Linked DNA regions of Macaca fascicularis. The protein of the gene in region 4 purifies or fractionates together with the protein of the main gene of each other region. This does not show direct contact. Links are inferred from orthologs where the notes say so. Each region holds a gene or a part of one and is shown on either strand. Other genes may lie near its edges.

Region 1 (7,585 bases), on a different chromosome or scaffold from region 4:
CATTCCTATATCCTCTGTGCAGAAAAATTAAAATCAGCCTGTGTACTGAAAATAGCACATAGCTGCTGGAGTCAGATGGACATGGACTAGAACTGTCCGTCTGCCACTTACTTGCAGCAAAACCTCAAATAAGCTCCCTTTACTAGTATGACTCTCAGGCTTCCTCACCTATGATACAGAGATACCAACAATCATCTCATAAGGTTATTCTGAGGGTTAAAAAGAACATGTTAAACATCTCATGTAGGGCCTGGTACAGAACAGGTATTCAATAATGTAAGTCATTTTTAGTAAGCTTACCACCACCTAACAACTAACAAGCAAATTATACTTTTCAAAGATTCCTTTATAGTCATTATTTTAATTGCTTCATGATCCTGTAAACTAGTCGTAGCAACCATTACTATCCCCATTTTATAGTTGGGACAAAACACAGAGATAAAAATTACTTCTACAAGGTCATGCAGTAACATACACTAAAGAAGGTCTCCTAACTTTTCCAGGGTTTCATTTTCCCCCACTACAAATTACATTACCCCTTAGAAATTAAAACACCATCTGTGAAGATATGTTTGTTTGTTTTTTTTAATAATTGGCATACAAAAAGACCCAGAAGGAGGAAATACTGGTGTGGGAGAATGTTTTTAAATTTTTTATCTTCAAGTTTGAATATACTGACTATTAATTTTGAATCAATGCATTTTTCCTTTTGTTTTTAGTTGGTATGTAATAATTGTATGTATTTATAGGATAGAGTGATATTTTGATATGTATATGTGTAATAATCAAATCAGGATAATTAGCATATTCATCACTTCAAACATTTATCATTTCTTCATCATAAAGTCAAAAGCCTCTGTTTTTAGATGCATATTACGTTTATAGCTTTTCAAAAATATACAATAAACTGTAGTGAGATGTATTCTTTTGATAACCTTAAACTTGTCTCTTTACTATGCCAAAAAGAAATATTTTTCTCCCACTTTCTGGTTATCATTTTGAAAAATAACATGGAGAGGGATCACAAAAACATTAAAACCAGCAACAACAGAATTAATTAATGTCTCAAATTGGCAACTGCTGATTCTACCTTGATTTTTGTTTTAGTTTTCCCCAACAAAGCCCATGACCTCTTAAAATTTTTTAAAAGTCTGCCTGTCGAAATGATGCTTAACAAATCATTCCTAAATTGAGGGAAACAAATAGAAAGGCAGCTTTCTCCCACCTTTATGATCATATACCACCTTTTTTCACCCCTGTATTTCATCTCTTCATTTCAGCACTTATCATGTCATACTATCTCTAGCTCCTTAAAGACTTGGGCTGCACTCTTGTATATAGCTGAACATCCTGCCCAGCACAGGGTCTGGCACATGGTAGAGGAGGACTCATAATTTTATAGTAAATGGATGAATAAATGAAGTCACTCTCGCAGAAGGAAGCTAGGAAAGGAGAAAACTGGGCATGGTATCTTAGGGCTAATAAGAAAGTGAAAGAAACAAAGCATTTTAAGAGCTTCACAAGGAAGGGAAACCTTTGTGTGGAGTCAAACAGACCCTATAGAGCACTAGAGAAAGACAAAAACCACAGGAGACCAGGAAGAGACAGTTTTAAGTTAAAAGACTCAAAAGTTAAGAGTGCTCATTTAGACTTGCAAAACCAAGTTGCAAATTCCCAGGAAACAATCCTGGCTTGGGATATTGCAACAGCAGTTTTCAGGTGGTGGTTAAAACAAACAAAAGACTGGGCTAAAATTCTTGCAGGCTTTGGCTGGAGACACATAGATGCAGAAGGGAAAAGCTCAACCTAAAATGAATCCCCCAAAAATGTGAGGATCCCCTTGGATTCGCATATTGGACCATGATTCCTATTCATTCTGAGAACTGTTCTTTAGTAAAACCCCAATGTAGCAGCTAGCAATACATAGGATTAAATCATCTTATATTAGTCATTCAACAAATACTTGAGCGCCTGCTATATGCAGTCACTATTCTAGGCACTAGGATTAAAGCAATGACCAAACTGACAAAACTTCCCAGTCTCAGGAAGCTTTCATTCTATTGGCAAGAGTGGGGTGGGGTGGGATGGGATGGGATGGGATGGGATGATGTCAAGCAGTGAGTGCTATGGAAGAAAAACGGGACAGCGGGAGCTGGCAGGGTGCTTGTTTTTATCAAGAGCAGATCTTTTAACCCTGTGGTTCTCAAACTTTAGCAAGCATCAGAATCATTTAAAGGGCTTATTAAAGAAATTCACAGGCTACCGAAAAAAGGCACAAACTCAAGTAATTACAATAGAGTGCTATAGAAGACCATAAGAGTGGTATGTGTATGAGCCAGAGGATGGAAGAGCAACTCATTCTACGCAGGAAAAGGAGAGACTAAGGGACTGCATCGCAAAGGCCCAACAAGGACACCTCCACAGGCAGGTAAAGGGTGGAAGGGAAGCATCCAGGAAGAAAACAGAACATGCAAAAGCGAAGATGAGAGTGGCAGGGGAGCCACAGAAAGTGAGGCTGCAAAGGCAGGCAGTGGTCTGATGCCTGAGAGTTTCTTATTCCATGTTAGTCTGAAATTTATCTTCAGAATATGAAGAGTCAGGGGTAGGGGGCATTGATGTGGTAAGGTTTTGTTTCACGGAAATCTTTCTGGATGCACAGTACCTTCCTTTGAGGCACTGCTTCCTTCAAACCTAGCACTGGGACTCAAAACATGCGCTTAGTAAATGTATATTGAATTGAACTGAACAAGCTTTTTACCAAATGCCCTCTTATGGATGAGGCAGGTCACCTTCCCTGCAGGACTCACTTTGGCCAAGAGAAGACTTGTAAAACAGGTCCAGCAGCCTCAATTATTGCACACTACTACCTGTACAACTGGAGTCCCCCAGAGATTAGGGCAGACCTTCATTGTTTACTTGTCTACCTCACCCATTAGACTTTGAGCTCTTTGAAGACCGGGAATATCTTAATAGACTGAATCCCCATAGCCTTAGCAAGAGGCCTGAAACATAGTAGCTCTCCAAACTCCAGTAATGTTGGATAAATGAATTGACTGAATTAGCAAATTCACCAAGGCAGACACATGAGTTCATGTAGTTAAGCGTATGGATAAACTTCAGGGAAAGTATGGGAAGTTTTCAGCGTCAATGTTCCCAAAACCCTTTTTGAAAGGCATAGTTGCTAGTTGGGGGGGGGGTGGGGGTTCTACCCACGTGATTTAGAATTTTCCAAATAGGAACCAAAATGTTATAAGTGCTGTGGTAGAAATCTCACCGGGCCAATGGGAAAAAGTCAGTTCTGTCTGAGAGGAGGGACAGGATGGAGGCCAGCAAAGATTTCACAGTGTGGGAATTCTTCAGTGGACTCTTGAAAGCTGAGTTGGTGCTTGCTACCTGCCCGTTTTGGGGCATAAAACCAAACTTCTGGAGCTTTTAAGGCTGGAAGTGACCTGCTCAAGGTCACACAAGAAGTAGATGAAGCCACAAGGTAAGAGATGAGGTATCTGTACTGATAATTCCTACTTTCTCCTGACAGAGTTGAAAGAGAACCCACAAATGTAGGAGGCAAAATTAAAGATTTTTCTCAAGAACAATTCTTAAAGTCAAGACTAACGAATTGAATTTTTATTAGTAACCACAGAACTAACCCTTCCCTTCACTGTTCAGTTTTTGTAAGAGTAGAACAATTATCCAAGGGGTTTAAAAACCAAGGACGTTGCTCACAACCCACTACTTCTCAAGTATTCTTCCAAAACATTCCCAGTAATGTGTATTGTTGAAATAGGATAGCGAAGACTACAACAATCATGTCTTTTCAAATGGATTAATGAACATAAAATAACTATAAATCTCCTTTCCCGGTTGTTTTTCACTTCCCAAGTTACAGAATATTCCGCGGTGGGGGAGGGGCTGCGTAAGTCAAGTCCTACCAGCCCTTATTTTTCAGGGAGTAAAACCCTAAAGGTGACTGTCCAAGCCTAGAAGGGATCATTTATTCCATGCAGAAGGAACTGGGGCGCCGCTTTGCTGTGCCTCCTCGTAGTGGGACAGGGTGAGCTCTGCAGGACTGCAAAGTTCGGAAGGGACTCGGTCCCGGACCGGTACCCGTGGGGGCTCCCGGCCCCAGCCTGGCCTGGCCCCGCCCCGCCCCTTCCCTCTCCCGGGTCTCTCGATCGCCCGGCGTCTGAGACCCGCGACCCCGCCGGTGAGCGCACGGGGGGCCTTTGTTGGCCCGACGGGAGCGGGCCTCGCTGGGCGACGCCCGCCTCACCTTACCTGGCGCCTCCGCCGGCCCAAGCGCCCGGCCCCGCCACGCGAGATAAATGGGCCCAGACCCCTACTCCACCCGTCCCCACCCCCGCGCCCCAACCCTGGCAGCCCGGGACGCGAGGGGTACCGGGCGGGAGGCCCGCTCTCACCTTCCGCGCTCGCTCAGCTCCTCTCGGCTCCTCCTCCTCCTCCCGATGGTGGGTGCCGCCGAGCCGGGAGTGAGGGCGCGAGTGTGTGCGAGCTACCGCTTCACTTTCTCCCTCCTGCCGCCGCCGCGCCGCCAGTGCCGGGGATCCCCTCAGGACAGGGGAACTGCGAGGGAAGGGATGATGGGGGGGCGGCAGGGAGCGAGACGACGCGGGGCGGGGGCAACGGTGGGGGGCTGAGGGGCGAGGTGCGAAGAGCTCGGATGGCCTCTGAGGCAGGAGATGGGAACTGGATGCGGAGACCAGGTTCTTCGAGGGGGCTCACGAGAGCGCGGGGCTCCGTGAAAAAGGGAATAAGAGTCCGAGGGGGAAAGCGTCTATGGAGGAGGACGGCGGAGCCTGCGAGGGAGGCGCAATAGGCGAACGAGGGGGCGGGAGCGTGTGGGGGAAGCCGTGAGGGGGCGTCTACTGTGCAGCCGCCACCTTCGGCTCCGGCTGCAGCCGCGGCAGGGCCGCCTCCCCCGCCTACAACTGCGCTATTGTACGCCGCTAGGCGGGCCTGACCGCCTAGTTCACTGGCTCCCCTCCTCCTCCTTCTTCCCCCTTACCCCCGCCCTTTCCCCCTTCCCTCCCCCCCGGCCTTTCCCCCTCCCCCGCGCGGCGGTGGCTCCGGCGGAGCCGTGCCCGCCCCGCCTCCCGCAGGTGGGAGGGGGCGGGGAGCGCCTGACCGACCCGTAGGAGCGAGGCCAAACCCTGGCCTGCAGAAGGGCGAACGCCTGGGATTGCGTCATCGGCGCGTGACGCCAGAGGCTGGGGAATCACCCGGCTGCTGCGTGACGTCATCGCGTCGCGTCACTCTTCTCGGTCCGCTGTCCTTGGCCGGCAGTTTCCGTGCAGCATTTCTACCAGACAATTTTGGGACTATTTCTGGGAGGGCTAATGGTGTAGCCAGGATGGAGAAAGACGGCTAACTTCCGTGGCTGAGGATCCTCTTCAGGTTAACGAAGCACCACCGCATCTATAAACTCGTTGTCAAGGGCTGAAGTTGAAAACTATCCGACGTTGTGTGATCGCAGAGCCAGACGTGTATTATGTTTTCTTTGTGTGGGAGGTGGGAGAGGGGACGGGGATGGGAGGAAGACAAAGAAATTATAACGGAGAAGTTTGAACTACTGTGAACTGATATAGGATTGTGAATTGATATAAACAAGAGTTAAGTTCCTGTGGCATATTTCTGGTCACAAGACATCACCAAACTTCTAAAGACCAAAACACCTCTAATATCAAACATTGACATCAATGTGACTTATACATACATTTAAGAAAGATTAATAAAAAGAGGCCAGACCAGGTGCCTTGGCTCATGCCTGTAATCCCAGCACTTTGGGAGGCCAAAGTGGGCAGATCGCTTGAGCCTAGGAGTTTGAGACCAGCCAAGGTAACATGACAAAACCCCATCTCTACAGAAAAATAAAACCCAAATACAAAACATTAGCCAGGCATGGCAGCACACACCTAAGGTGGGAGAATCACTTAGGAAAAGAATGGGCTTCCTTTCACGTTTTTTCTCTTACCGTGGAGGATACTTTCGATCCAAAGCTTTCTCCTGAGCTCAGATTGTGTATTTCCCAATACCTTCCGAGCAGCATTACCTGCATACTCGTCGTACCTCAGATTCAATATGTGCGAAACTGAGACAGCATTAGAAAGGCTGAGAGTCCGGGATCAGATTGCCTTGCTTGAAATCCTAGCTGTTCAAATATTAGTGATAGGACCTTAACATTTCTAAGCCGTCATTTCTCTGTAATAATAAGTAGTACCTTAACTAGGTCTTCCTAAGCCTCAGTTTTACCATAGTAATAGTAACAAGCCCTTTAGAATGTTGGCTCCCCCCCAAAAAAATTCTTATTTTGAAATTTCCCCCCCAAAATTGCTTATGTTCCTTTCCGTTCTCAATGAATGAGCCACCATTCAGCAATCCCCTAAGCCAGGAACCTAGACGTACTAATAGATCCTCATTCTTCCTCTCTCAACATCCATATCAAGTTGGACACCAAGTCTTGTAGCTTCTCCTAAATATTTTTCAAGTCCTTGCCTGCGTCATCTTCTAGTACCACCACCTGAACAACTGGAGCAACCTTTAGTCCCTTCAAATTCAATCTGTTTTTCCCACTGGTTACCTGAGCAGCCTTATAAAAGCACAAATCTGATGACATCCTCCCGTTTAAACACCGAAAGGATTTTATTGCTTTCAGGATAAAGTTCAAAATCCTGAACTTGGCACTTTACTACCTGACTGCCTACACTAGCCTTTCTAGCTTTGCCTCACACCATTTATTTTTTGCTCCAGGCACACTGAAATATTAACGTTATTTGAATACCCATTTCTTCATGTCTGTGAGCTCTTCCCTACTTATCTGACTGGCCAACACCTATTCATTGTACAAAGCTGAGCTCAAATGTCATTCATATTCGTATTCATTCGACTAATATTTCTAAAGTTTCCCTAAGCCTTAACAAGACTGTAATCCTATAGTATTTCTATGCCTTTTGTGGCAGTAACTGCATTTGTGTATCTGATTTCTTGAGTTCCTTGACAGCAAGTCATATGCCTTTCCGTATCCTCAGCATCTAAAACAGTGCTTGACATATACTAAGAATCAATACGTTGTTAAAATATATTTAATAAGGCAGGCGTGGTAGGTCACACCTGTAATCCCAGCACTTGGGAGCCCAAGGCAACCGGATCACCTGAGGTCAGGAGTCTGAGACCAGCCTAGCCAATAGGGAGAAACCCCATCTCTACTAAAATACAAAAATTAGCCGAGCATAGTGGCAGGCACCTGTAATCCCAGCTACTCAGGAGGCTGAGGCAGGAGAATCACTTAAACCAAGGAGGCGGTGGTTGTAGTGAGCTGAGATTGTACCACCACACTCCAGCCTGGGAGACAAGAGCGAAACTCCATCTCAAAAGAAATGTATTTAATAAATGTTCATATTGTGCTTACTATGTGCCAAGTACTGTTCTGAGCACTTTACAAACACTGTCTTTAAACCTCTACCCTCTAAGGTAGATACTGTTGTTATCCTCACCCATCTTATTGATGAGTGAACTGAGGCACAGAGGGGTTAAGTAACTTAACCCAGGATCCTAACCCAGTAAATTGACT
Region 2 (7,508 bases), on a different chromosome or scaffold from region 4:
AAGGAAACAATTCTACACTGCAGGTGGAAATGTAAACTAGTACAACCACTATGGAAAACCTTAAGTATGAAGATTCCTTAAAGAAGTAAAAGTAGAACTACCATTTGATCCAGCAATCCTACTACTGAGCATCTACCCAGAGGAAAAGAAGTCATTATATGAAAAAGACACTTGCACACACATATTTATAGCAGCACAATTTGTAATTGCAAAGTTATGGACCCAGCCTAAATGCCCATCAGCCAACAAGTGGATAAAGGAAAGGTAATATATATATACATACACACACATACACACACACACACACACACACACACACACACACACACACCATGGAATACTACTCAGCCATAAGAAGGAACAAAATAATGGCATTCGTAACAAGCTGGATGGAGGTGGAGACCATTATTCTAAGGGAAGTAACTCAGGAATGGAAAACCAAACAACATATGTTATCACTTATAAGGGGAGCTAAGCTATGAGGATGCAAAAGCCTAAGAATGATATGATGGACTCTGGGGACTCAGGGGGAAGGGTGGGAGTGGGGTGAGGGATAAAAGACTCTACATTGGGTACAGTGTACACTGCTCAAGTGATGGATGCACCAAAATCTCAGAAATCACCACTAAGTAACTTATCCATGTAACCAAACACCACCTACCTGTTCCCCCCAAACTATTGAAATAATATTTTTACAAAAGGTCACACTAATCCTAAGAGTTAGGTGCCACTATTATTCCCATTTTGTAGGTCGGGAGACTGAGGCCTAGAGTCATAGTTAAGTAACATGCCCAAGGTCACAAAGCTGCTAGTAAGAGAGAACTGAGATTTGAACCCAAGAAGTTTAGCACTAGAGTCAATGCTTAAACCACAACTATTTGTCCACAGATAATATGACTAAAGCTAATCTATTAATATAGAGTACTACTTCTGTCCCAAGGCCCTATGTTAAGGACTGTACATAAATTATCTCATAGATCTTATGAGGTTGGAGCTCTTGGCCCTAAATTATTACACAGTATCTTATTTGATTCTTTTTTTTTTTTTTTTTTTGAGACAGGGTCTCTTTCTGTCACTCAGACTAGAGTGCAGTGGTGAGATCACAGCTCACTGCAACCTCCGCCTCTCGGGTTCAAGCGATCATCCCACCTCAGCCTCCCGAGTAGCTGGGACTACAGGCACACGCCACCATGCCTGGCTAATTTTTGTATTTTTTGTAGAGTCACCATTTCACCATACTGTCCAGGCTGGTCTCGAACTCCTGGGCTATAGCAATCCTTCTGCCTTGGCCTAGGATTAAAGGCATGAGCCACCATGCCCAGCCTTATTTGATTCTTAAAGCAATCCCATGAGTTGGCTATTAGCATATCCATTTTACAGATAAAAATAATGAAGCACAGTGAAGTTAAGCAACTTGATGCACATGTGGAAGTATCAACTCCCTTTCAGCAACACTTCCTATACACACTGTAGGGATCCATATAATATAAAATAATGCAACAAAATTTACTACACAATTTCTACCTCAGAGCCAAGTTCTCTCAGCTTTTCAAGGCCTCTGTTCTAAAGTGTTAATGGGAAGGAGTAACAATGGCCTTTCCTCTTTTCTCAACTTGGGAGGATTACAGTGACCCTCTCCAACAGTCAGTGGCCTGCTTTTGGTTCCCCCTTAGTAGGGGAACACACCCACACAAGCTCTGTCACTGGAAGCCTGTTTACAGGGCTTGGATGCTGTATATAAAAGACATCATTGTTTGAGTTTTGATTTTGTTTTGTTTTGCTTGGAACTGGTTTCTGGAAAAGACAGACTAGCAATCCATTACTGGGGACCACCAGTCTGCTACCTCTGTTTAACTCAGTGGCCAATGACAGTGAAAATAAACCAAGTACTTTTACTACCAATCTTGATTAGCAGAGCAAAAAAAACAATAACAACAGGGAAGGCACCCGGGGTAGGCTTACTTCCACTTGGAGGGTTGCACATCCTTTCAGAAAGTCATTGATGTTGTTGATGCAGTCAGCTTCAGTTTGGGGATCTAGACAAAACTAGAGGAACACAGTGAAATGTCACTTGGAGATTGTCATCCCATGCCAAGCAAAGTATATTCATCATTTGCTGATAACTAGAGAAAGCAGGCTTCTTAAGGTATGGGGCAACACTGCTGTCAATCCAGGAAGAGAAATAACCACTGAAGGAAGTGATGCAAAAATCTAAACGGTCGATCTTTGTTTCAAATGTCACCAAACCTTTAGTGGCAAGTCATGTCTACTTACAAGCTTTCTCTCATGCCTTCTATTCCAGTGTGCTGATGGCAAATTAGGGAGACCAAGACAGTTTTTTTAGCTTAGTTCTTGCTTTCAAGAAAGGAAGCAATCCCTGGTACCTCTCTCTTTCCTCGCTTCCCCCTGATAATTTAATAAAATTATATTTCCCCTTGGCTGTTCTCTACATTTGATCCCATTTCTTTACATTTTATCACTATGTAATCACTCTTTCTCAAGTTTAAGAAACTATAAGTAAATTTATTTGCTCAATAAAAATACAAACTGGTCCATGCAGGCAAAAGTGATATACTCACAGTCCATGATGACCTTAAGAAAGTAAATGTAAAATTGTACCTTTAAGCTACTTAAAGTGCCTACTTAAGAAATTATCTATTCTTGTGATCATGGGTTTCCAGCTATTAAAAATCTTGAATTGTTTTAAAGAGAGTAAAGTTAGTTTCACTTTGAACGCACATTGCATTCGAAACATATATCTGGTTTCTATTGCTTTTACAAACTTTATGTGACATTTTGAATTATTACTCTTAGTTGCTATATAGTCTCTCCTTCAATGGATTTTTGTAAAACGAAATCTACACTGATTTTAGTCAAACTGCCAAAAAACACCACCAAGATCTGTTATAAATCATTCTATTTTTCCACAGACTCATAAGTACCCCAAGTTCAAAACATGTCCTCGGTACACAAGGAGATGTAACATGCATCTCCACGATAGAGCAAGCTTGTGATATGAGTGTTCTCCTTGTCCCCTATTGCCAGTAGTGTCACAGGTTTTCCCTATACTACAATTTGGGGGCCAATTACTAAAGAACAACATTTCATTTTCTTACATTTTCAAACTACAAAAACAGTAAGAAAAAATGTCTAACTCTTAGAAAAATATTAAAGTAGGAGACTCCCACGGCCTGGGAAATAGAAAAATCTCAAGAGTTATATGATTGCTACTCTCTGGTGATAAGCAATCCCAAAGAGACTACAAATTTCCCTTACCTTTTCCACAGAGCCGGGCATGAGTCTGTTGATCAGTTTGCACAGAACTACCCCATTTTTCAGCGAGGACTTTAAAAACTCCTCCGGATCACAGATGGTCTTTTTAGGGGAATCTAAAACTCCCAAAGATATAAGCCATGTCACGATTTGTTCTTCTGGATTCATTACTGAGGACAGTACACTCCAAACAGCACTCTGGGGCAGCTGCAAGGACTAAGCCACATCCGCGATTGCATCTGCTGTTGTCTTCCTTTTTATGAGTTCTCTTCGGGTGCTTGTAGAGCAAAGGTTTAAAGCAACTTTTCTCAAACAACAGCGGAACCCACTCAAAATACAGGATTTTAAAACCACAGAGATCACGGTCCAAGACGTGGAAACAGATAAGAATTAACCTAACAATCCTGGATAACACTGGTTTTTCCTTTTCAAAACCTGTAAAACAAACTCATTAGGATAAAAAAAGAAGAAGAAAAACACATGCACACACGCATACACACACACACGCACACAGAGTGCGAGAAGTTATAAGGGAAGAAAGTGAGAAGGATGCTGGGGAGGGAGGAGAGACAAGCAAGCAAGTGCTTTGGGAAACAGAGGTGAGCCAGCACTTCAGGGGACCTTGGAAATGAGACACTCATGGGCCAGTCTGGGAAAACACTGTCAATAAATAGTCTAGCCCCAGTGAAAATCTGGCTTCTGTTAGGAGGACGATGCCAACTGGCTCTTAGGTCAGACAGATCTGAGCCTCATGGGGAGATACGCTGGCACAACAGGGCTCAAAGAAGGTAGGCAGAAAATTCTTCCAAGAAATAACCGGATGTCCTCATACTATCTCCCAGAGATGGTGTGTCACGATGATTCCTTGCAAAACACGTTGAGTTGCATGGTGACAACGTGCCAAGCAAACGAAGATTGTGCCTGCTGCCAGCCATCACTGTGTATAAGCAGAAGCTAGAAGAATGGCATTTTACTTTGCAGCCAAAAAGCTATGTTTAGGGAAATAGGCTAAGGATAACATCTGACATCCTGTTTACTTGCATTCTTTAGCAATTCTTTTTCTGGACCTGGTTCCACTACATAATCCAGCTGCAGTACCCTAAGCAAAGGCTCAGACTCAGTCACATAAGTGGGTAAAATACATTTGAAAAAATAGAATGTTTGAGAACAAAAGAGCACTTGTCCTCTATCTACACTACAATGTGGAAGATTCATATTTCCCCAACAAAAAAACACTTTGCACTCAAAATACTGCTCTGAAAAAAAAAAAAAAAAAAAAAAAAAAAAAAGTCTATAACAAGAGATCTTCATCATTCTCAAACATTTTCAGAACCACTTGAAATAGGCATACTATTGGGAAATGTATGATAAGGCCAACTTTAATAGTATAACTCTATGTTGGCAAATGTGTGGCACTTACCATCATCACCTCTCCTCAAGCATGGGAGACATCAGATCATTTATAGCTCTTTCCTGCTAAGCCTCAGAATTCTTTTCAACACAGCTTCAGGCATCTACTACCAAAGAATCAGCTTAGATAACCCTACTAAACATTTTCAAAGCTGCCCTTTCTTGCTCTGTCAGGACACTTGTCACACTTCACTATTATCACTTGTTGATATGATGATCTGACTCCTCCACCAGAATGTAAGCTTCCTAAACTCGGGGTCTTGTTTGTTTTATTTAACACTGTGTTACCAGCAGACTGCCAGGTATACATGGTAGATGTTAAAAAATGTTGAGGCCGGGCGCGGTGGCTCAAGCCTGTAATCCCAGCACTTTGGGAGGCCGAGACAGGCGGATCACGAGGTCAGGAGATCGAGACCATCCTGGCTGACACGGTGAAACCCCGTCTCTACTAAAAAAAATACAAAAAGTTAGCCGGGCGAGGTGGCGGGCGCCTGTAGTCCCAGCTACTCGGGAGGCTGAGGCAGGAGAATGGCGTAAACCCGGGAGGCGGAGCTTGTAGTGAGCTGAGATCCGGCCAGTGCACTCCAGCCTGGGCGACAGAGCGAGACTCCGTCTCAAAAAAAAAAAAAATGTTGAATGAATGAATGAATAAATGAATGAATGTATTCAGATGGCGTCCCTGATATAGACAGTAGCTGATTATAGCAAGGATTTTTTGTTTGTTGGTTAGTTTAAATGACTTAAAACAAATATTTTTTCTCGTTAATGATTTTTACCATTTTATTAAGCTGTAACTGACACATAAGGAACTGCATATATATGATTTAATGAATTTTGACATATACATACATCTTTGATACAATCACACAAATGCAATCCAGATAAACCTTTCCATCACCCCCAAAATCTTCCTTGTGCCCTTTCAATTCTTTCTTTCCCCTTTGCCTCCAAATCCCAGGCAACCACCAATCTATTTTCAGTGTCTATAGATTAGTTTGCATTTTCAAGAATCTTATATAAATGGAAGTACACAGTATGGTACTATCTTTTTCCTGGCTTCTTTAACTCAACATCATCATTTTCAGACTCATTCATATTATTGTGTCTGTCCATAGTTCTATAACAAGGTTTGTTTGATGTACTTGTGACTTAAGCAAAATAAGTATAGTTAATCAAAAGTTCTCATTGATGTTGACCCATGGCCAAATCTATGTAATGGAAATAAAAACATAATCCATTTGTTGATAAATAAAATTCCCAAATCTGACGAACTTAAACACATTTTTATATGTCATTTGAACAGTTTTCACAATTGCTCATCAAAATTTTACTCTACAGACAAACAAAATCTGGCAGTATTATTGAGGTATCACTTACATCTTCTGATGAAGAACAAAGCCTGAGTAAATTTTGTGAACCCAGCCTCCTCCAAAACAGGCTTGAGTTCACCAAGGTCATCTGGATAAAACTCGGCCTCGTTTTGGACACTCACTACAGCAAATATTACTATGAGTCATAAAGTATATCAGAATGGCAAGGCCACTGCCTCAAGGCAAAAGAACCAGTTCTATTTGTATAAAGATTGGAAGTTACAGTTGGTGTGCTAAAATGTCAACAAATCTAGGAATTCCAGGGCAGTGGCAAGCATATAGGTGAAATGGGTACCCATGAAACCCAGGCTGGTTAGGGACTCAAATGAAGATAGGAAGGAGCTGAAGAACTGAGGGAATGTGGGGAGAGGGGGAATCCAAAGACTGGGGTCACAGCAACACAAAGAGCAGGCTTCACACAAGAGCATGAGAAAAAAAAAGCAAAGATCTCTCACCCTACCTCAGAACCTCGGTACCACACCGTCTGGGCCACTGAACCTGCCTCTTCAAGGGCTTTCCCACTTCCATCTTCTCATCCTAATGAACTCTCTAACAAGGCACATTTGGGTTGATTTTCCAAAAACACCTCTAGTGTTAATACCCCTGTTCAAAAACCCTCAAAGGCTCTCTATTGCCTAAAGCAGTGATTGACAGAAAACAATGTTCATATGATCATCTCCTGTGAGGCGTAGAACGTAAGCTAAAATAGGTAACATTTCATGAAAAATCAAAAGATCTTCAGGAAATAAGGCAAATGTGAACATTTATTAAGACTGAATGCTGGGTACACTGGTACCTGTTTTACTATTTAGTTTCATGTGTTTAAAATGTTACTAACCGATTCTCTTTCATTTCAAATCTACTAAGGCACTTATTTAAAAATAATATTTGTGAGCTCTCTTCCCAGATACTCTAGTTCAGAAGATCTGCAGTGGGATAAAGGAATCTGTGTTTTCAAAGTATCCCACTTGATTCTGATACAGATAGACCAAGGTCACACTTAGAGAAATGAGTTTATCGGTCTCTAACCTTCTACCCCATTCTAATTTCTGCCAACACTTGGGTCATTTCAATATCCACAAGAACAACAATCCAACATCATGACCCCTCAGTTCCTTGACCTTCTCAACCTGTAATCAATTTATTACCTCTCATTTCCCCTTTATGCCTATTCTGAGAAAATGGACCTGGGGCCTTGAAATATTTTTGACTTTGCCAGCTGGCATGATATGAAGTTTTATCAGTAGGCAGTGGTGGAGAGACATTGCAGGAAGAAGGGGTTTTACTTCCTGTTTTCTGTGTGCTCACTCCACAAGCTCCTGCCGAGCTCCCAGCTTTCCTATTGCCTACCTACTGCAGCACTGGTTTTCCCAACAAACAGCAGGTAGCAGCCTCCCCAGGCACTACCCTTGAGTGTTTAGGCAGCAAAGCATCTCTGATGAGACACCTTCCATG
Region 3 (7,552 bases), on a different chromosome or scaffold from region 4:
AGGGATATTACTGTTTTAGAAAAAAGCTGCAGACAAACATCTCATTTTTAGTATCTCAGTTGCAGCAAAGTAGAAATAACGTGAATATAGCTCCATCCAGCAGCGGAAACTGACCTATGGGGAGCCGAAGGAGAGTAGGGAAGGGGCTTGGGAAAAAGGGGCAGGTGTGAGGGAGGCTGTGCGTCCTCAAGGGCAACACTGTGCTTTTGGTTCCTGCTATGTGTTCTGAGGCAAGAGCATATCCTGAAAGCAACAGCCAAGCCAACCCAAACCCACTAGCCTGAGCACTCAACCCCTCTGCCAAGCCCACCTGGGTGCAACCTAGGCACGGGGAGGAGATGCTGGCTGCGGAGCACGCCTGCACCTGACGTCACCGGGAACTTACTACTAGGAATTGATTGTGCATTAATAGGACACCTCATTCTGGGTTAACAGCCCAAATTCCCCTGCACAGATTCCAATCTGCATTGCTCACACTCCCTTCAAATCCATTTATCCAGGTAACGGCAGGCGGGTGACTTAACGGCAAATAAGTGAAACCCATGCTCTGGAAAGGAAAGCAGATGAGAAACACATCCCAGAGACCCATTCCTGGGGAACGGTGGGGCTTCAAAGGCCCAGAGGGAGAGACTGCAAGAAAGCTCATCTTGTTTTCAGGGAAAGGAGTCAGGAGAATGCTGCCACTGAAGTGGAAAGTTCTGGGTAAGGGACAAAGGCTGGAAGCAGCAGGGTTGCAGCTGGTGCCGCAGCAGTGGAGGAAGGAGGGAGGGAAAAAGCTTCCCGCTGCACTCCTTCCCCCACAAATCAAGGGCAGGAAGTTCTGGCTGCAAAGAGTTAACAGGAACGAGGCAGCGGAGGAACAGGGGCAGGGTCTGGGGAGACAGGGAAGCCAGAAAGGGGCAGGAAGGAGGAAACTCTCGGTGGGGAGGGACCAGGAAACAGCCAAGAAATCGGGAGGCTGCAAGAGGCACCCGGCTCTGACAATCTGCTGCTGGGGCTGCCACTGTCACTGGGGAGGGCAGAGGAACCTCCTGGGAGCGCCCAGGCAGGGCTCCTCAGCTAGGAGCCCAGAGATTAATTACACCAGGCCTCAGTGGTCATATCAAGCAAATGATGAAAATTACAAGACTGCTGGCTGCCGGGAAAGGGAGACGGCAGTTCCTTCAGGGCAAGGTCCAGACCACAGACCCTGAGAGTGAAGGGGCAGCCCCCTAAATTTACCAAGGTGGAAACCGAGGCAGGCCCAGTCAGGCTAAGGGACTGGCCTGGGTCCCATGTGGGCTGGTGGTAGAGGGAGAAGCCAGGTCTCCCATCCTCCAGATACACAATGCTGCCTTACGCTGCCTCCTTCTAGAAGAAGGTCGGGGAAAGGGACTGTTTCCTCGGATTCTATAGGGTGACAGAAGGGGAGGCCCCTGTACCAACTCAATGTGGCACTGTGCCTAACCACTCCCATTCCCTAGCCATTGGAACTCAGAGCTGTGATGCCAGCCCCAGCTCTCGGCCAAGCCACATCCCCAGGCACCAGCCATGGAGGGACTGCCAAGGTGGGCCACCTCAAGGTGTGAACAATTCCCAGAGGCACCCTGTCACGGGGACAAGCCACAGCCCCTCTCCCTGACTCTGACCTTGACCTTGGGGGTATGGGGAAGACAGGCTCCTGCATCTGATGGGACCCTGGAGTGGAGCTGCCCCTCGGGGCAGCAGCTTTGCCAGGGCAGCTCAATTCTCCATCCCAGCCAACAGGAAGGGGGCTGAGCCTTGTGAACTGTGACAGCCAATGGCCCCAGACAAGCGGTGCCAGTCAGCCCACGCCGCAAAATGTGGACAGGGGTGAGAACAGTGGTGTGCAGGGGTGGGTGGAGGGGATAAAGCACAGCAGAGAAACAGCACTGGCCTGTGTGGTCCAGAAACCTGAGGCCCCATTCCAGCTTTCTTCTGTGACGAGAACACGACTCCTCCCCTCCCTGAGCCTCAATGACTTCAACTGCTAAAGGGGAGAATCCCATCTGCTGGGCCTGCCTCCCACAGTTGTCAAAAGGACAAAATGGAGTAAAAAGCACTCTGCAAACGGAAAAGTGTCGGGCAAACATGAGACGTGGTCAGGATCACCATCGGGGCGGCAGGGGGTGCGCTCTGCCCCACTGGGTGTGCAAGGCAAGGCATTATGCAAAGGGTGGCTTGCTCCCTAATGCCCCAGGCCTGGACCCCCATGTAGGGGTGGCCCATAGCCCTTCCCAGGCCTTAGCACACTGACATTCGGCGCTCGCACCTCCAGTCCATTTCACAGATGTGGGCAATTTGCGGAAGGCCATGCTGCTGATGGTGACCCAATGTGAAAACCTGGGCTGCCTGGCTCCGCCTCCTGCTGTCCTCCTAGAATCCTATCCAACCTTGTTTCTGCTCAGGACTGCCTGGGGCGTCACACAGTCCTGGTATTTCTTGGGCAACTACTACATGCAAGGCATGGCCTTGCCAGCTTCACAGGTTGGTTGAAGAATTGAGAGGACAGATGTCAAAACAGGTAAGTCAGTAATAACTCCTATCATTATTGCTATCATCGCCATCACTGCTGTGGATGGGAAAGGGGACAGGAAAAGAAGAACATCTCGTTTCTCCGGGTTCTGACACCTGCAGAGCCAAGGCGGCACCCCATCAGAAGCAATGCATTCTGGGGGGAAAAGTACACGAACGCAGACAGTTCCAGAAAAGGTCCCACCTCACACATTGCCGAACTCCATCCTGCAGGAGGGTCTCAAAGCTGCGGCCACCAAGGAGAGCCGTTTTGAGCCCTAGAGGCTGACTCCCCCATTTCCTCCCTCGTGGGTTTGTCATTTCTGAACTCATTTCTGCACTAACCGTCACTGCTCCCTGGACAGCCCCCAGCTGACAGTCAGTCTGGTTCCTGTTTTGAGAAATCTGATTGCAAATATCTTAGAAAAAAAAGGCCCTAACGGCCTTTTCCGAATGCAGACCAATTTTCCTCTCCCCGGCCTGACGTTCAGTCAATCCAAACACCCAGTGAGCAGGGCATGGCAGAGGGGGCCGGTGAGGGCCATGGGCATGGCACCCCTGCAGCGTCAGCCCAGGCTTAGACAGACACTTCAAAGGCTGAGGGACATCACAGAGTCACAACTCTTATTTCACGCCATCCACATTTCACAGACGAGAAGACTGAGGCCCAGTGAGGGAAGGGACTTGCCCACAGTCACAAGATAAGACCACGGCAGTGTGGACAGGCCCCATTCCCAGCCTGCTGGGGCACCAGGAGGCTAACTCTCAGGCATGCACGAGGAGTTGCCACACGACACAAAGGACCGTGGCGGGCACATCTGCTCCCTGGCGCAAGCCAGGGCAGCCAATGAAATGTAGAACCGGAAGTCTGAAGCCCTGATCTGTTGGCCAGGTGCCACCTGAGACTACCTGTGTGACTTGGGGCAGGCCACTCACCTCTGGAGCTTCAGTTTCTCCACCTGTTCCACAGGGACAAAACCACACCTGTCCTGGCCACCCCATTCGCTGCTGAGAGGCTCACACAGTGGAGAGATACTCCATCAGCCATAAAGAGCTGGACAAACCGCAGCAATCGTCCACATCCTGTGTACTTTTGCACCTACATCCTGAACAGTCTAAACTTTGATACCAGGTGTGATGTCAGTTGTCTTACAGGGGCGGCAGCTAAGGTCCAGCTGTTGCCAGTGTGCTGGGAGGGCCCCTGGTCAACAGCACCCACCGGGCACCATATGCAGTGCACGCCCGAGAAGGAATGTGGGGGAGAGGGCACGGGATGTTTCCCCCACCTGAGCGCGGTCTGAGGGGGAGGGCGTCCGCAGCACCCTAGGTCCTGCTCACCACGCCGCCCCGAAAGCACTCTCAAGCCCAACTACAGGATAGCGACTCCACCAGAGGGTGGGAGAAGAGTCCGGAAAACTGGCTGTCCCCCCACACCTCACACAAGTGTAGATTGGAGGGGAGACGGGTGGGGGTAGTGGGAACCCCAAGGCGGGTGCCGTGAGCAGGGACAGCAAAAGGGTGGGTGACATCGTCAGGCGAGGTAAATGGTGGCCGGCGGAGGGGAAGGGACCCCACAGGGACCAAGGGCTGCTCGGAGGAGGATGAAGGGGCGCGCCGGGCCCCTGTGGGAGAAGGCGGGAGCTAGGGGCTGACAGCGACTGGAGCGGGGGGCCGGCGGAACGCGATAAGGAAGCAGCAGGGCGGCCGGCGGGACCGGAGCGGGCCCGGGGGCCGAAGGGGCAGAGGAGCTCCGGAGTTGGGGCGCTCCGGGCTCAGGCGCCCGGGGTCTGGGGCTTAGCGTCTGGACCCGCAGGCGCCACGGCCGGGCTGCTCCGGGCTCGGGGGCCGACAGAGGGTCGCGAGAGCCGGCCCCGGGGGTCCAAGTCGCGGGGTCGAGTGTGGGGCCAGGGTCTCGGAGTCGCGGCCGGGGTGCCCGCGGGGTCGGGCCGGGGCCGCGGGCGACTTCTCCTCACCTGGGCTCGGGCAGCAGGATCTTCTTGCTGGCGCGCGCGGCCGGCGTGGCCTTGCTCTTCTCCATGGCCATCAGGTAGCTCACGTCGGCCAGCACCGCCTCCAGGTCCGCCATCTTGGCGGCGGCGCTGCCTCCTCCCGCCGCCGCCGCCGCCGCCGCCGCCGCTCCCGCTCGCTCGGCGCTCGGCCCGGTCCGGCCGCGGCTCGGTCGGCCTGGGGCGCCGACGCCTCCCGCCTGGCCCCGCTCGGCGCCCGCGGCTCCGCTCGCCGCCGCTCACAGGCGGCGCCGCCCCATGGCGCCGGCTCGGGCCCGGCCCCGGCTCGCGCTCCGCTCCCGCCGGGACTGCAGTCGGGGCGCCGCCGCCGCCGCCGCCGCCGCCGCCCGCGCGCCCGCGCCCCGGAGCCGCCGCCGCCTCCGGCCCCGCCTGCCGCGCACAGCGCCAGCGAGCCCGCAAGTGGCCGAGCCGGGCGGGCGATGGTGCCCCCTGGAGGCCGCGCGGAGACCTGCGACAGAGGGCTCAGATCCTGGCGGTGACCTGGGGTCTGGACGGAGACCCGGGCCTGGAACAAGACAGGGACCCGGCACGGAAGACGATCCCAGACCCATTCCTTGACCACAACCTCGGGTCACATCTCTGAATCCCAGGCTCTCCAGTCAGGCCGTGGTCCTGCCAACAGACATGATCACAAGGAACCTGGACGCTCACCAAGACACAGATTCAGACCTCTGAACACCATCCCGGGGCTTTCATCTCAGACCCTGGCTATAACCCCAGACTCCCTGACCTTTGACGCAGTCCACGACCTGACACCAGACTCCAAACAGGACCCCAGACTCAAACCTTTGCCCACCACCTCAGACTCTAACCATGACCTCAGATCACAGCCCTGGGTCTCCAACGCCATACCCAGACTGTGACACTCACCCCAGACCCCTAACAGTTCCCCAGATCCAGATTTTGGACCATGACCTCGATCTCATCCTGGTTACTGACCCCAACCTTGACTCTGACCCTAGGCCACTACCATGACCCTGCATCCTAGACTTGGGGTCAGGGCTTAGACCTAGATTGGACTATCAACTCCAGACCACTGTCCTAGGCTCAACACCCAAAACTGTGGACACAGACTCAGGACTAGGACATCTAACCTGGGACCCACATTGGACCCAGAATCCTTAGTAGGTCACCCAGAACCTGGGATCTGACAACTACAGTCCAATTACAGCCTTCCCCCATCCCCGATCCCACCCCTCCTACTCTAGAACCAATCCTGGCCCCTGCAGGCCCACTCTGGATCAAGTACCCTGCACCCAACCCCACCCCCTAACAGGCTCGTAGACCCAGGTCCCTGGCCAGCACTCTTGGCAGCTCCCTTCCGTGTACCCCATCCCATCTAGACGCTCCTTCAGGATGGTTCCACATGTAGGGTGAAACCTCTCCCAGCCTGGGATGGCACAGAGGTTTCAGTGCTGCCTGGTAGGGGAAACCCACCCGAGAGCCCACCCAGAGTGAGGAAAGCCAGGTGTCTCAAGGCAGCAGTCCTATCTCAACATGCCCCTCTCTAGACCCTCTCTTTGCTTTTGAAGTGATAGGACCCTCCTCCCAGCCCTGGGCACATAGAGCTCAAATCTCATTACCATGTTGTGGGCCAGCAACCAGGATCCTTTTGCAAAGCAAGGCTCCCATCTCTGTGCACTTCTAGGCTACCTTCTTGGATCAGTCCCAACAGAACCTGGAACCAGAGCATATCAGAGCTAGTGAGGTTCTCCTCTCAGTGAGTGGTGAGCCCCAGGTTTCTTTTCCCTAACTGCTCCTTCATTTTCTCCCCTTCTCTAATTTGTCACTATAGTCTCCTGTCTGGCCTCCTGAGAATCTCCTTGAATCTGTCTACTTCTCAGGGTCCTATGGCCAGCCACTGCCCTGATGCAGGCCCTGACCAGAGATGCCTTTCCCAGGTCTAGATCTGATGGAGTCACTGCCTGCTTGGCACCAAGAAGCAGCTCTCCAGGCCTTCTGGGGCTACTGAGAGTGAGAGACCTAGAGGGGTCTCTAGGACTCACCCCACTCTGCCCAAAGCAGGTTAGGTGAACAAACTCCTTAATCTGCAAGTCAAGATCTTGGAGGACTTGGACCTTGGATGCTCCCGTTTGTTTTGCTACCATCCTCTGCACCTGGAGCTCCCCCACCAACTCACCCACCCATTCTCACTTCTGTGCCTCTGCTGTTTCCTGGGCCTGGAAGCCCTTCTGTGTACCTTTCTCCCTGGCCAACTCCTACTTATCCGCTAAGACTCACCTCCTCCCGGCAGTCTTCCCTGACTCCCTGACCCCAACTATGTACATCTCCAGTTCTACACTTACCACCTTCTAGGCCCTATTTTCCATCTTCAGTTGCAAGATGCATCATTGCAAGATGCATCATTGCAAGTTTTGAGAGTGGGGAGTGAAGTCTCATTACATATCTGCATCAATTGGAAAATGCATCGTGATGTTGGAAATGCTGTTATATATATTTAAAGAGTACATACTGTCCCCCACTGTCACTGGTGCTCCTAGTTCATCCCTTGCTCCCAGTGCCCACCACAGGACCTGACTCAAAGGCGTCAATGTTTGAGGAGTGAATGAATGAGTGAATGAGCTGTTGGAGCACATGGGGTTTGGAGTGGAACAAGGCCAGATGCCACAACATGAAGCCTCTAACCTCCTCTCCCCACTGCCCTGTCCTGACTCTTCTGGACTGTGAGCACAGCCACATGTCAGCCAGGGTTTTCGGGAATAACCTCTATTTAAAAACTTCTGCCTGATGAACTTGTCAGACCAGAGTCTGTGTGTGCGTTCTGAAATGCCAGCCATTCTGTTCCAAGAGGTGGCCTTACCTTCCCACTCCCACCTAAAGACTCAGTCCCTCCCACCCACAGCCCAATCCACACCCCCTGCCAGGCCTGAAGCTGGGGTCTTTTGAGGGGGGCTGGTCTCCCTTCGTTGATTCCTGGGCCCAGAAAAAGTGACTTCAGGAAGCCCCAGGTTCAGAAGAGGTTGGTGTGAGCCCCAGGCCTGGGGAAGACT
Region 4 (7,634 bases):
TCGGCAGCGCGGCGCGGACTCGCGCTCGCCTCCCACACCCCCGCACACAAAGACGCGGCTCGACGGAGGGAGCAGGCGCCCGCAGCGGGCGCGGGGGCGCACGGGGCGCGGGCCCCGGGGACGCCGCCGCAGGGACGCGCGCCCGCAGCCCCCTGCTCCCCGCAGCTGCATAGCCCGGCCCTCAGCCCGAGCGGCCGGCGAGGGATGCGGGGATGATGGGGAGAGAGGAAGGGGACCGGGCGCCCCGGGTAGAGCTTGTCAGCTCAGCCCCGCGGCATCATGGGGCTTGTAGTCCGCCTCGTGAAACTGGGGGTGGCAGGTGGCCGGAGAGGGTCCGCACTGTCCCCGGATCCCGTGGGAGAATGGGCGGGGAGTCAGGCCTGGCCCAGACGCGGGCAGGGCCCTGACGCCAGGTGGGCTGGGGTGCACCTGCCCCGCTGGCATTTTGCCTTTTGCTGGGGAAGGAGGGGCACGGGCCTAGTTCGAGCGTTTGGGAGACGGTGGAGGTGTAATCTTCAGAATTGAGCTTGGGTCCCAGGGGCCTTGAAGAAGGATCCGGATTCCCAGAAGACAGTGACTGATGAGGGGAAACTCCTGAGAAAGATGTGGGGCATCAGTACCAGGGGTCATTGGCGCAGCCAGGGGTCTGGCCCCTGGAACATTTCTGAGGAGTCTTCCCTGCCCTGTTAGAAAATTAAACTCCATCTTTCCACACATGTCATTGGAAACAGAATGTCCAGTAAGGCGGGAAAGACGGTCCTTCCCCCCAGACACACTGTCCCCAGCAAGAACCAGAGTGAAGTTGGACAGAGAAAGCAGCAGGTGGCAGCTTCGCTCCTCCACCCAGCTGGTCCCTCAGGAAGGGAAGTGACTGATTCCAGAGACTGTCTTCTTCCTGAATGACCCCAGGGCGAAGAGGTACTTCCAGAACGGTCCCTGCAGAGGGTGTGGTACAAGTTGAATTGGCCTCTCGGCGCCAATTGCAAGGCCTGGAAGGACCAAGAGGCTTGGACCAGTCCCTGGAGGGAGGGGACTGTGATGTCAGAGAGACCAGAGTTCGAATACCTCCAACTGCCTGACCTTAAAAAAGCAAACTGCTTAATTTTTCCGACTTTCTCGGTCCACTCCCCTTCAAAATGAGACTCTAGATACTACCTCCTGGGTTGAGCTAAGGATAATGACTGCCCTGGAAACAGCGCCTCCCTCCCCAAACCAGGCGGGCCGAGACAGGTGGCGGGACCAGGCACGGTGCCTTCTTGAGCCCACCTCAAAACAAGGCAGGAATAAGGGATTCCACACCGGCCCTACTTAAAACAACAATCCAAGAAGTATTTGTGTGGGAAGTGCCAGCAAAAGCTTGCAAACTCTCTCAGGTTTCTTTGTGTGGTCTTCTCTCCTTCCTCCTCCACACCCTGCGGTGCCAGGCCCCGGCGGGAAGAGATGAGGGAGGAGCGGGCTGCCTCGCCCGTTTCTCCCGCCTGGGAGGAGCCAGCTGGCTTCTCTGGCGGCCCGGGACCGCTGCCCGCCTGCACCACCAGGGGTCAGCAGAGTGTCGTGGCTGCAACTGGTGTAGGGGAGGGGGGCTGTCGCGGGGGAGGGGCATCTAGGAGTGGCCGGGAGCAAGCCAGTGCGTTTCCTTATTAAATTGTCTTTCGAACCTTGTATGTGATTCCACTGTAGCAGTCCTGCTTCCTGGGGTGGTGACATCTCCATGGGGGAATCCAGAAACCCTTTTATCTCCAGTCCCAGGCCCAGAAGTTTGGCTGTGACGGGGCTGGGGGAAACAAAGTTTGGACGGTGTGTCCGCGCCGGGGCCACTCCCAGGTAGCCTCCGAGCCAACCAGGAGATGGGGAGTGGGGCTGCGGGGGGTTGGTAAGCAGAGTGAGTCATCCTTCTTCCCCAGCAAAGCCCAGGAGTCCGAGGGCAGGGGGAGTTGTGGGGAGCTGTCGATTGTGGGGAGCTGTCCCCTGGGCGGCCGGGTTCTTTCTTTGCCAGGCGGCGGTAGACACTGAACCCAGGTCGCTTGCGCTTCGCCTGCGCGCTCAGCTGCCACGTGCTCGAGACGCGCCCACACAGCGGAGAAACAAAGACAGCCAAGCGGCAGGGCTGCCAGCAGCCTCCTCGACATTTAATAAATGAAATTCCATGGCTGGGGGTCCACCGGGGGTGAACGGGAGGCCACCGCTCGTCGACTGAGCGCCCGGCACCGGCTGCCTGGCCACTCCTTCCGTCTCACTCCCCCCGCCCCTTACCCCCTTCCCACTGGGGCCACCAAAGCCCATGGATTCTTTGGTGAGAGAGCAGCTCGGGGCGGCAGGTAGTACTCCTCCCTACATAGCAGCTAGGTATCGTTGCTTGCAAAAGCCCCACCAGCTGAGCGGCTGGCTGTCTGGGGAGGGGAGGCCTGAAAGATTTTTTTAAGGTGCAATTATAAATAAAGCCCATGGATCGCGATTTCAAACAAACTTGTCAATCCGGGCCGCAGCAAAAGGCGATGGAGGCAGCTTTGCATGTATTTCGGGTGGTGTGACTCATGAGAATTACTTGTCTCCCCTAGGGAAGGAGCCTGCCCACCCACAAGTCACTGCCGCTCTGGCACCGCTGGGATAAATCGACCAACTTGAGCACCCCTGCCAAAGGACTGCCCCCATCTGTTACCGAGCAGGAGTCTCTGACTTCGATAACCCCTCCTCAATTGTCACCACTGACCTGGCCCCCAGGTCTGGCCCTGGGGACCTCTGCCCTCTCCCCACAAGCAGAGTGCCCGGGCCTTTTGCTGCTGCAGGGATTGGGGGTTGGGTGCACGCGCGGCACACGTGTATGGGGGAGCATGCTCAGTGCGGGGGCTGTGCTCATGTGAGGCCTCCAACTAGGCTCCCTGCCCCCCAGCCCACCCACGTCCCTCACCTGCCTTGCCTTTGCCTGCCTCTTCGTGTGAAGTCCAGGAAGAAAGGCTGTCACCTGAAACGGCCCCTCTGTGTTATATGCACCCTTTCTGGACGCACACACCTCTGGTGGCCCAGAAACACCGTGTGTATAAGGCGGATGACAAGTGGATTTGAGTGCACACAGGCACAGTGGTCACTCCTTGGGAGGTCTTTAAAAACCGCCCAGATTCCTCTCTGGATGGAAGCATGCATGGAGAGATAGATATATTTTTAGTCCAGAGGCAGGGGAATACACTGCCTGACCTTTCTAGCACCTGGGCGTCCATATTGTTGGCAATGAGCGTATTCAGCAAGAGTGTGACACACGCACACACACCTGGACACACAGATGTGGACACCTACAGGACCGGGAGGCACACCTCACCCCAACCAGAGATAGAAGGGTACCCCAAGGCACAGCCCCTTTGACCTGGAGCGGGACTTGGGCCTCCAAGTCCTTCCTGCCTAATCCCCGCCCTCGCCATCCCTCGGCCCAGCGTCCCCCAGGCCACCCCACGCGGAAAGTGAAGGGGAGGGGGCTGTGAGGGTGACTCACATTGCCTCCGGGCCAGGCGAGCGCCGCAGCGGAGGCCAGGACCGCAGGCCCCGCTGCCCGCCGGGGCCGGGCATTAGCCGCGGCCCCTTTAAGCGCCCCCGCCCCCTCCCGCCCGCGCCCGGGCTTCCTTTCTCCAGGGGGCGCGGCCGGGAGCGCGCGGCGGGGCGGGGGTGCGGCCCCTCCCCTGGTGGGCAGGGCCTGCGCCGCTTCCTGCAGGAGCGGCCCGGAGCCGCGCAGGGGGCGGAGAGAGGAGTCGCGAGCGGCGGCGGGGCGGCGTGGGGCGGAGGGCGCCCGAGGGCGAGCGGGCAGGCGGGCACGGCGGGTTCCGGGCCAGCCCCGGGGCGGACGGTTGGCCGGGCGCGCGGAGCCTCGCCGGGGCCTCGCCGGAGCCGGGCCGGGCAGCAGGGGCCGCCGCCGCCGCCCGGGCCCGCCGCCCGCGCCCCCCACGCTGGCCCAGAGGGCTGCGGCCGCGTCGCCGCTGAGGATGTCCCGAAAGGGGCCGCGAGCGGAGGTGTGTGCGGACTGCAGCGCCCCGGGTAAGCGCGGCGGGGCCGGGGGCGGGACCGCACAGCCAGGCCGCCGCCGGGCGGGCGCCGGGGCCTGGCGAGAGCGCCGTGCGGGGCCGGAGGGCTGGGCTGGGCTGGGCTGGGCGGGGCGGGGGGCTGCGGCCTCCGGGCTCGGCCCCCGCCCCGGCCACTGCGGAGCCGCGTCCTTGGCGGGAGGGCTGTCCTGGGGGGCCCATGCTCCCTGGAGGCCGTGGACGAGCGAAGAAGGACGTTCCCGGCGCTGCCTCCCGCCCCTCGGTCTGAGGGAGGCGGGCAGCTGGCTGCCCCTCCACCTCCATCTCTATCCGACGGAAGCGCCAGCCTGGGGTGGCAGGAGGGCAGTGGCGGAGGCCGGCAGGGCTTGGGAGGTGGGGGCGAGTGTGGTTTTGTGTCATCTCAGTGCCACCCCCGCGTCTTGCACCTGCTGCTCGCGTGGTCGGCACGCCTGCCGGGGTGGTGGAGGGCAAGGAGCAGAGGGCCGGGCAGATGCGCCAGCGGGGCCTGGATACCGTCTCCTCAGGAGCAGATGAGCAGTGGCTACTCCCAGGACTCCCTGCCGCGGGTTCCTAAGGCTAGCGCTTTTTTGCGGGGCCTGGCGTTCAGGGCCAGTTCAGACCCGGGTGTCTTATCGGGAGGCATCACCAGGCCTGCTGGTGGTGACTGGGAACAGCTCGGCTGGACCCTGCTGTTCCTATTCACCGTAAGGCCCGCTTGGGAAAGTGAGCTTGGCATCAAGCTATCCTGGGCCCCGGCCCCTCCCTGTCCCCTAGCCCAGTCTGGCGAGAAATGGGTGGGAGGCACTGCCTAGATTCCCCGCATCCTGCTGGCTTCCTAGCCTGCCTCCTGGCTGTATTTACATGGTGGTTCTCTTCTTTTTCCTAACAGAGTCAGGACTGGGCTGGAGTGAAACCCCCCAGGCCTGCTGAGGAAGTCAGGGGTAATGATCCAAGAGTCTGCTCCCTTCTGATGGGGGAGGACAGCCAGTGACTGGGCTCTGCAGCTGGCCTGGGAGGGAAGCTCTAGCCCCCATCCATTCTTTCTTTAGAAAAGGAGCTATCTCCCTAGTAGGCCCCTGGGCAGGCTTCGGAGGTCTGTGAACTCTAGCGGGGCTGTGGGCATTATTAAGAGTGAGATTATGGGGTGCTGGTTTGTGGGTCCATAACTTTCAGCCACCCCTTGAGCAAGCCCAGGACCCCACAGGTTGAGCCTCACAGATGCTCTGGTGGTTCTGGGGGTGGTGCCAAGCTAGACTGTTTGGGAACTGTGACCCAGCAGGGCTTGGGCACAAGATACTCTCCTCCTTGGGGCTTTTGGTTTAGAGGGCCCTGGGGTTGAGGGTCCATACCCCTAAGAAACTATGACTCCCTTCCCCCAGCTGCAGGCAGGTCTGGGGATGGCAGGGCTGAGGACACACCTTGCCTTATAAATGTCTGCCCACTGTTCCGCACCTCCATGGGGTGAGCATGGCATGCATGTGGAGGAGAGGCTTAGCAGGCACCCTATCGGGGAAGCCTGGGGCATAGTGTTGCCTTTGTTCCCAGCTTACTCTGTAACCCCAAAAAGACTTTCCTCACTGTGGGGGCCTCAGTTTCCTTAATTAGGAGGCAAAGAAATTGGAGTAGAAATGGTTTCTGGGGGGGCTGTGATCTGATTCTGGGGTGGAGGGGTGAAGGGCAGCACCAGCAAGGCAGCAAGGCAGTTGTCCTTTCTCTGTTGCATTGAATGTCATCCAAAGCCTCTGGATGCCCAGTGGGCTCAGGGAGGAATGGTGGGCATCAGATGTGTTGGATTGCCCAGCTCCTACTCCCAGGTCCTCATCCGTCAGAGGAATTTGTGCCCCAGATGACTCTTTTCCCCTGATACACAATAGAGGTCAGGAAGGTGGTGAGAAGGTGAGGATGGTAGGGTGGGGAGGATATGGACAGTCTTACACATCAGCCCACCTAGCACCAGCGAAGTGTCCAGCACATGGCAGGCGCTCCCTGAGTGTCTGGCTTCTTGTCGGGACCCTGGCTGGCTGCTTGGGACTATCCCACACCTGGACCCTAGGATGCTGGCCCTGGCATGCAGCGACGTGTTTGGTCTGGGTCCTGTGGCATCTCAGGCAGAGAGGCATGAGGGTACCCAGCAGTCTGGAGTCCAGATCCAGTGCCAGCCCCATGGTGTATCGCTCCACCCCAGGGTCACAGCCTTCTTTTATTGTGATAGGAGCCCTGCAGTCCCAGCCACAGGAGTGGGGCCAGGGACTTTTTGTGCTTGGTTAATTTGGGGAGTCATGGAGGTCAGAGGTGAGATGCAGCCTGCTCCCAGAGAGCCCCATCCTCCCTCTGCTCCCGGGCCTGGGCACACGGGACAAGTGCGAGTGTGTTGGTAGGCAACTGGACATGGTGTGGCTGCTCTGGCAGCTTGTGCCACCTTGTCAGGCACCGTGTGCATTCCTGCCTGCCTGGGGAGTCCAAGAGAGGAAGGGGGCAGGGAGCCCTGGAGAATGTGCATTTTCCCCTTTCCTTTGCCTTGGCCCACCTTGCCACATGGTCTCAGTCAAGGGCCTCTCCTCACCCCATGGGCTTCTATCTCAGCCTTTTCCACTTTGGCAGCCCTGGGGGTGAGAGTGAAGGCCTCAAGATGCCTGTCCTTTAGGCATCTCTGGTGAGCAAGGCTGGGGACATGTTACAGGACAAGCTGCAGGCTGATTTGTCTCTTCATAGTGTAGATTGCAGAGTGGTACAAATGTTGGGCTCCTCTTCCTGCCTTATTGAGGTAGAACTTGTATGTGTCTGTGCCCGCACCTGAGTGTTCACACTGATGGGCTTTTACATGTGTGTATACCTGTGTAACTACTACTCCGATCATGTTATAGAATAGGGGTATCCAATCTTTTTGCTTCCCTGGGCCAAACTGGAAGAAGAATTTTCTTGGGCCACACCTAAAATGCGCTAACACTAATGATAGCTGATGAGCTAAAACAAGCAAAAAATAAAAATAAAATAAAATTGCACAAAAGTCTCATAATGTTTTGAGAAAATTTATGAATTTGTGTTGGGTCACATTCAAAGCTGCCTTGGGCCGCATATGGCCTGCAGGTTGGACAAGCTTGTTATAGAACATTTCCATCACCTTAGGGAGCTTTCAAGTGCCCCCTCTCAGTCTGTGCAGTCAGAGGTAACCACCATTCTGACTACCCCAAGGACTACTCTTGCTTGCCGTCATGATGTGGGCTTTTCCCTTAGTCTAGTGGGGATCTGGCCCTTAGCTCAGGGGAGGGAGGCCTGAAGCTGGCCTGTATGTGCAAACCTACTGGCCCTGGAGGCCACTGATGGCTTCAGGTGGTGGCAGGAATTCACCATAGTAGAGGCCTCCCTGGGGTTGGCACTGGTTAACGTGATCCCAGGATCACACCTGCTACCTCGCCAGACATACAGACCCGTACCCTGCTGGTGGAGCCAGAAGCCCAGGGGGAGGGCTGACAAGTTCCCTTATAGTTCCTGTCCTTTCCGTCCCAGGTTTGGTCCAAGGAGCCTCTTGAGGCAAGGATCCCTTCACCTTAAACTACAATCTGGGTAGACCCAAGGGCACTTGCACAGAGAGAGGAGAGAGAATGGTTA

Evidence for each region.
Region 1: the proteins of GIT1 (region 4) and PAK1 purify together in Homo sapiens (affinity purification with mass spectrometry; 6 studies listed by BioGRID and IntAct, with this or other methods). This does not show direct contact. The link is inferred for Macaca fascicularis from reciprocal best matches to the Homo sapiens genes GIT1 and PAK1.
Region 2: the proteins of GIT1 (region 4) and ARHGEF6 purify together in Homo sapiens (affinity purification with mass spectrometry; 3 studies listed by BioGRID and IntAct, counting the BioPlex papers as one, with this or other methods). This does not show direct contact. The link is inferred for Macaca fascicularis from reciprocal best matches to the Homo sapiens genes GIT1 and ARHGEF6.
Region 3: the proteins of GIT1 (region 4) and GRK2 purify together in Homo sapiens (affinity purification with western blotting; 4 studies listed by BioGRID and IntAct, with this or other methods). This does not show direct contact. The link is inferred for Macaca fascicularis from reciprocal best matches to the Homo sapiens genes GIT1 and GRK2.

What each region holds. Positions count from the first base shown.
Region 1 is NC_088388.1:76,355,492-76,363,076, forward strand, and holds the start of PAK1 (serine/threonine-protein kinase PAK 1), read right to left. Parts: upstream 5,205-7,585; 5' UTR 4,419-5,204; intron 3,488-4,418; exon of another isoform or gene 3,281-3,487; intron 1-3,280. UniProt on the Homo sapiens protein: Protein kinase involved in intracellular signaling pathways downstream of integrins and receptor-type kinases that plays an important role in cytoskeleton dynamics, in cell adhesion, migration, proliferation, apoptosis, mitosis, and in vesicle-mediated transport processes.
Region 2 is NC_088395.1:142,925,391-142,932,898, forward strand, and holds the start of ARHGEF6 (rho guanine nucleotide exchange factor 6), read right to left. Parts: upstream 3,915-7,508; 5' UTR 3,442-3,914; coding exon 3,277-3,441; intron 2,047-3,276; coding exon 1,963-2,046; intron 1-1,962. UniProt on the Homo sapiens protein: Acts as a RAC1 guanine nucleotide exchange factor (GEF).
Region 3 is NC_088388.1:7,106,376-7,113,927, forward strand, and holds the start of GRK2 (beta-adrenergic receptor kinase 1), read right to left. Parts: upstream 4,831-7,552; 5' UTR 4,601-4,830; coding exon 4,488-4,600; intron 1-4,487. UniProt on the Homo sapiens protein: Specifically phosphorylates the agonist-occupied form of the beta-adrenergic and closely related receptors, probably inducing a desensitization of them. Key regulator of LPAR1 signaling.
Region 4 is NC_088390.1:35,092,398-35,100,031, reverse strand, and holds the start of GIT1 (ARF GTPase-activating protein GIT1), read left to right. Parts: upstream 1-3,719; 5' UTR 3,720-3,968; coding exon 3,969-4,020; intron 4,021-7,634. Other genes in the region: ANKRD13B (ankyrin repeat domain-containing protein 13B), read right to left, coding at 1-171. UniProt on the Homo sapiens protein: GTPase-activating protein for ADP ribosylation factor family members, including ARF1.